Bombyx mori: one gene and its partner. The protein of the gene in region 1 binds, or shares a complex with, the protein of each later gene. Links are inferred from orthologs where the notes say so. Each region holds a gene or a part of one and is shown on either strand. Other genes may lie near its edges.

Evidence for each region. The genes of interacting proteins can lie anywhere in the genome.
Region 2: serine palmitoyltransferase 1 (region 1) and uncharacterized protein LOC101740127 share a complex: the UniProt entries of both Homo sapiens proteins name them as parts of the serine palmitoyltransferase (SPT) complex. The link is inferred for Bombyx mori from reciprocal best matches to the Homo sapiens genes SPTLC1 and SPTSSA.

What each region holds. Positions count from the first base shown.
Region 1 is NC_085117.1:6,882,290-6,885,156, forward strand, and holds the end of serine palmitoyltransferase 1, read right to left. Parts: coding exon 2,811-2,867; intron 2,281-2,810; coding exon 2,157-2,280; intron 1,397-2,156; coding exon 1,078-1,396; 3' UTR 501-1,077; downstream 1-500. UniProt on the Homo sapiens protein: Component of the serine palmitoyltransferase multisubunit enzyme (SPT) that catalyzes the initial and rate-limiting step in sphingolipid biosynthesis by condensing L-serine and activated acyl-CoA (most commonly palmitoyl-CoA) to form long-chain bases.
Region 2 is NC_085130.1:2,444,483-2,448,669, forward strand, and holds the start of uncharacterized protein LOC101740127, read right to left. Parts: upstream 2,801-4,187; 5' UTR 2,592-2,800; coding exon 2,486-2,591; intron 1,236-2,485; coding exon 1,129-1,235; 3' UTR 1-1,128. UniProt on the Homo sapiens protein: Component of the serine palmitoyltransferase multisubunit enzyme (SPT) that catalyzes the initial and rate-limiting step in sphingolipid biosynthesis by condensing L-serine and activated acyl-CoA (most commonly palmitoyl-CoA) to form long-chain bases.

The DNA.
Region 1 (2,867 bases):
TCAGTGGGCTGTGTCTGAGAGTTAATTTACTCGCCGAGCCCTTCGTCGCAAGCGACGGGTTCGACGAGAACCGTGACCGGTGCTTGAAGTACCTAAAAGCACCGTTAGTGGATCGGGAGGATCCGAGATGACGTGTTTTGGGCGACGTCGACTGATTTCCATTCCGCAGGATCGGGAATGTGGTTACCGGCGGCCACGATGAGAGGGTTCTCGTGTCGTGCCGCTTTATCGAAGTGGAATCGCACTACAAAAGTAGCTGAAGGCTGTTTGCAGATTTTCCCTTTACTCTAACTTATGATCACATCTATAATCAGTTGATTTATCACAATTTTGTTTCCCATATTCAAATACACAAAAATATCACAAGTTAAATTAAGCTTAAAACATTAAATAATTATAATTGCAAGAAATATTTAATTAAATTAGAAAAAAACATTGTTTAACTTTTTGTTCATTGGTATTATGTATTATGTCCTAAATGTTTCAATAAAACGTCCTACTAAAACATATTATTGTTTATTAAGGCATCGGTGTTACAATATATTTTACTTATATATATTATGATAATACAACAAAATGCAAATGTTATTATTCTAAGCTGTATAATTATTATTTTAATTATTTAAAACTTAAGTAGGAATGTGATTCTAGGAGAAAGAAAAGTGTTTTTAGCCTTAAGAGGGTTATTATGTCAGCTTTTACTTCTGAACGGTCTTATAATTAATATCAATTACATAGCATGTCAATTTTTAAAATACAACTTAAGTTATCTAAAACATATTTTAAAAAATAACAACACAAACATTACATATCTAAGTTGTATTAATTAATTTTTTGGGACCAGCAATTATTATTTTACTTTGACGATTTTATTATACATTTCTAAGTAAAGAAATAAAAAAAATTACATACATTTTTTATATGTTTGAATAGTAACCGTTCAATAATAATAAGAATAAGATTGGCAGTGCTTTCATAATTTCCAAAACAAGGTAGAAAATTATCTAGTAATAATCATATAAAAAATAATATAAACTTAAATAAATAATAAAATTACAATTATCTATTATTTTGGCATTATTGAACAGGTTGCAAATCAGGTTTGGGTCCGACCTCTTTGTAAGCAGTTTCCAAAAGCGTGCATATTAAGTTTAAGTTTTCATTGTCGATTTTCCTGCTCGCTACCAACCTTATGGAAGGTTCGGGACAGTTATGTTCGACGTCTCTCAGATAAGCGGACACCGCAAAGGCCACGCCTTTCTCAAAGCAATAAGCAGCAATGTTCCTTAAGTAGGAATGTTTGAGACGATCAGTCAGGTCATCCTTGAGGTAAACATGTTTGATCGGAGATATCTCATCACCGCTGTATCTGTAGTGGTCTAACTTAGCAAGAGCCCTGAAAATATTAACAAATAGTTTGTTATTATGAAAAAAATTGTGTTTCGTGATAATATGTTCTTTTTATGGCACACTTAGAACAATCAAATAGTTAACACATTAAGTTCTAAAGAGGGTATTTCATGAAAATTACTTACATATAAGCATCAGATCGAAATCACAGCTATGTACTATCACTGACAAATGATTTTTATTTTACAATGTTATTTTTAGTAAAAAAATTCCTACCTATGCTGATAGCCTTGAGAGGCTATTTCTGCTTCACCCTAACGTTTGTAGGTGAGCTCACGGGGCTCAAACCGGAGCGTTGCTAACACCGACCCTAGCAAGAGCAGTGCTTCGCAGAAACTACCACCGGATCGGAAACGCGACTCACTGAGAAGATCCGGCGAGAAACTCAGCGAGCTGTGTCTGTGGGTTAATTCGCTCGTCGAGCCCTTCGTCGCAAGCGACGAGTTCGACGAGGACGGTGACCGGTGCTTGTGGTGCCTAAAAGCACAGTTAATGGGTCAGGAAGATATTTTTAGTAAGCACTTGTGACCTTCTTTATTTGTAGATTTTAATGTAAACAGTGATACCTACCTACTTGTCAACTTGATACAAGTATACTGGACAAGTATATCTTTATCTTTTAGGCTGTGACAACTTCCAAGATTAGGTAACATTTTTTGAGGGTTATAATGTTTACTTGAATAAGGTAAGTAAGTAAGGAGTTCTTAACTGCGGTCTGATAATAAAAAAGTAAACAGACATCTTACTTATTCATCATCTTAGATCGGTCATTGAGCTCTTCTATGATTGAAGGTTTTTCCTCCAGAATGTCTAAAGCTGAAATGGCAGCTTGAGTCAACATGGGCGGTAAAGATGCACTGAAGCAGTACCCTGAAATGGAATAGTTAACAATGAAATGCAAAACTTGTATAATAAATTCAACCTTTGATCTATGTTAAAACATAGCGAATACTATTATAAATTTTAATTAAGCAACTACACTAAGCATTTGTGCAGAGTTTATCATAGTTGAGTTGAAACTTGTGTTTTTCAATATAAATTAACATACAATATGAGAAAGTAATTCCAACATCAGTACATAGTATAAAACAAAGTCGCTTTCTCTGTCCCTATATCCCTATGTATGCTTAAATCTTTAAAACTACATAACGGATTTTGATGCGGTTTTTTGTACTAGATAGTGATTGAAGAGAAAGGTTTATATGTATAACATCATCCATTAAATAGTGGAGAAATCAATAATAAATTACAGTTTCGGAAGCGAAGCGAGGGCGGGTCGCTAGTTATTCATAAAGGATAGAAATATATTTACAGGACACCAGCAATACTCTGCCTCCATATGTCCAGTTTCCTGAACCCTTTTAATCCGAACACATATATAAAATAAGTAACAAATTTACCCAGTCCTGATAATCTCTGATGTTCGACGATGAAATGTGTACCGGCACAGAAGCCAC
Region 2 (4,187 bases), on another chromosome or scaffold:
TGAGATATAAGTTCTAAAGTCTCGGTATAGTTACAACGGCTGGCCCACCCTTCAAACCAAAACTCATTACTGCTTCACAGCAGAAATAGGCAGGGTGGTGGTACCCACCCGTGCGGACTTAAGAGGTCCTACCTACAGTAAGAACATACAAGATACATTCACTTCCACATGTCAGAATAGGTGTTCAGAATATACCGCTTTTTCATATTATACAGTACAATTATCGACACTCCCTGCAAAGTTTCAAAACTCAGTATACCAGATAATTCTGTATTTTCATCAAGTTTATACTTACATTTTTCTTATTTTTACTGTTAATACATTTACACTACATTACAGATATTATTATTATAAATAATAAATTATTTATAGAAAGAAAGTGAAATAAATCATACTGTCTGGATTTATAAGTCAGAATTACATTCACTGATGTGCCAACTTTTTTTTCCTACCTATGCTGATAGCCTTGAGAGTCTATTTCAGCTTCGCCCTAACATGTAGGTGAGCTCACGGGGCTCAAACCGGAGTGTTGCTAACACTGGCCCTAGCAAGAGCAGTGGTTTGCAGAATCTACCACCGGATCGGAATCGCGACCCACTGAGATGATCCGGCGAGAAACTCAGGGGGCTGGGTCTATGGGTTAATTCGCTCGTCGAGCCCGACGGTACACGTCCGAGGTTCGACGAGGGGGCCGGCCAATGTTTGTGGTACCTAAAAGCACCGTTAATGGATCGGGAGGATCCGTAAGGACGTGTCGTGCCAAAAATGCTATTTTATTTGGATTTTCACCAAGCCCCATTACATTTTGTGCAGACTAAAATTATATATATATATTTAAAGGTATTACTGTAATAAAATAAAAATTTAGAAGCGAAATACAAGGCATAAAGAATATTTAACATTTATATCCAATTCCCTTTACTACATTTTGTTTTTATTTATATACCACCTGACCCTAGATTCTAGTACTTAAATATAAGCCTTATCATTAAGAACACATGAGAGCCACAGTAAAAATGTAGTTCTTAATTTAAAAATAAGATAAAACATGCTTATTTCTATTGTTATATCGTACATAAAACAAGATTATGATGAAGTGTAACAATTTCTATGACATGATATCTCCATTCATGATGGAATGATCCCGTGATTCCCCCGCAGTCGTGATATGGCTGATATAGTGATGTAGTAGTTGAAGAACCAGAATAATCCAAAAAGTATTCCAAATACTATATCTGTGTGTTTGTTAAGGAAATTTTGTTTGTTTTTTTAAAATTCTGTTGGTATAAAATATATTTTTTATTTGTTTTTATTGCCCTTGTTGGCCAATGAACATATTGCCCACCTGATGGTGAGTGGTTACCATCGTCAATGGACTCCATAAATGCCAGGGGTAAAGCCAAGCCCCTGTCTGATAAAAAATATTGATACATTATGAATTTTTTTATAGTTAGACTGGTATATGTTTTTACTTAATTTTTGAATGCACTTGATGGATGGAAAATTTATAGCCAAACTTGAGGTTGAAGTCATAATTTTTCTAAATAAAGCTGCTGTTTGATTTTTGTAGCATTATTGTATTTCTACATTGCGGAAGTTAGCACCTAACTTACAACAAATTGTTAATATCAGGAAATCAATAAGAGGATAGATATGGGTGTACGATAAATTACTGAAGAATTATTTAAAACAATGAATTCACAGCAAAATCTATTTTATGATTTTCGAGCATAACTTTATTTTGATTCTCGACTATTAGTCTTTTAATGCTTTCTATCATCTGCAAAAAGACAACTACTAAGTACGCTATATGCTCATGTTAACACAATAGTAAATTAGATTCTTTCCTCAATTTATTCAATATTCTAATCAAATTGACATCTTTTAACTGGAACATGGTCTAAATAATTAGAGGTTCATATGCAGATAGCATTTACATTCATTATCATTGAAAAGGTCATAACTTGCAACATTGAAAATAAGAAACATTTTATTTCTTATGAGTCATGTAAGTCATTAAAAAAAATCACTTAGTTAATAAATTTTACAAAACTAGCACATGTATTAGCTTTTGATAGGCATTAACCCCTAGGGTGCAATAAACTAATTGATTACTGGCCTCTACCTTCTACCTTAGTTTTAATATGGAATATAAAGAATTGGAAGTCATGAAGAACTCATACACCCAAAAACTTTATTCTACATTTCATATTTTGGAATGATTTAATGTAACAAAGGGTTTTTTCCTCTTGTTGATTCTAGTACACTACCATTAAAAGTACTTATTCATCAAACCTAGCTAAGCTGGGAGATGACCATTATCATTCAGTTTTTCGAAACCTTTAAGTAATAACATTAATAAATGTGATTACGTCTATCCTCCTGAGTACATGTCTATCACAGAGTGAGAATTTTCCTAACCTAATTTTGAAAAGTTTTTGTATTTAAATGCTGATATGGTTTTTTTTAACTAAGAAAAGGATACGAATAGCTATTCTTTCCCAGGTTTCCACCATGTATAATTCAGTCGCCAATAGGTATCTAATGTACCAATAACTGATGAATTTCTTTACTTTCTCGATTAAATCCATTTCCTCTATTCACGCTTTTCGTGTTTCGTTCTGTTTAGATATTTTTTGGTTTGACCAGTATGGCACTTTTGAGTTGTAAATGGTTCGAAATTTTTGCCTAGACTGATTAGTCTACTTTTAAGAATTTTCTAAGAAAATCGTTGAAAATTCGAAAATGTAATAGAAACTCCACTGATACAAAACTCAATGATTTTAATTGTCATTGTTACTCAAAAACGAATGTCAATGTCAAACTAGCATTTTTTGGAAAATATATGGCCTCGTAACGAGACTTTTAAGCCAAGTCTTCTTTTCTTAAATTCAATTATTATTAAGAAAAATGAGATGAAGTTTGAGACTTTAATTGGTTGGGATAACTGGGATAAATGAGACGAGATGGGGTGAAATAATTTTTCAGTCATATGGTGGCTATTTACTGAGATTTTTTCAGTGAAATTTTTGGAAGAGCCCTCGATGATACATCCAGCTGCTTTGTTTCATTTTCTCACATGTGTGCACTCTCATATTTTTTAGATTTAATTTCAAAATTTAGACCAAGCCCCTTTTTTCCGCTTATTTTTTTTTTTAATTTATGAAGTTCCTCTTTGTATTTATTAATCATGATAATTGAAGACTATAAAATATACTACCCAGCGACGATGGCATTGCAAGAATGCTGGCATTGAAAGATGCGATTAACATATTCAAACTAAAAGGAGTAACTAGACGTGTGTTGATGAGGTTGAGGAGAGCGGCTAATTGAGAAAGGGAAGCGGAAAGTGGATTTAGGAGTTGCTATCGCTCTCTTTCCTCTCTCTTCAATCGGTCCCTCATTGCTGAGGATCGTGACTCTGTTTGATTCCGTCAACTAGCTGTCTCCATCGATCCCGTTCTGTAGCTTGGTAGAGTCCGTCTCTGACAGGTATTTTTAGGTCTTCTGCTATTTGATCCGACCATTGTTTGGGACCTCTACCCCTGGGCCTTTTTCCCTCGATTCTACCGGTCACCACAAGGCGTCCCAAATTGCTGGTATCCCTGCGTGCAATCTCTCTCTTTTACTACTGCATAATAATATCCATAAACGAACACACGCTTCACCCGATGTTAGGTAGTTAGTATTTAGTGATTCGTAGTTTAAAAAAAGGCTAGTTCTTTGTCCAGACAACATTATCCTGCTTTTATCATTTCTTGCCACCCACCTTGAGATATAAGTTCTAAGGTCTCAGTATAGTTACAACGGCTGCCGGCTTCAAGCCGAAAGGCATTACTGCTTCACGGCAGAAATAGGCGGGGTGGTGGTACCTACCCGTGCGGACTCACATGAGGTCCTACCACCAGTAAAGTTGTTGCTCTGCAAAAAGTTATTATATTAACTTATTTCTACACTTAACAATTATTATGATTATTTTCGATCCTGCAAAGAGAAACAACATTGAAGCTATTGCTTCAATATTTAAACCTTTTTTTAAATCTGCAAGTTTTTTAATTTCCTAAGAAAGCACGTTAACTTTTGAATGTAACAAAGCAAGAGAGCAATTCTAATTATAGAATGAACATAGCTTCCACCATAGATAATAAATACTATTATGATAGTCGAAGCTAATGCGCGGGGAATTT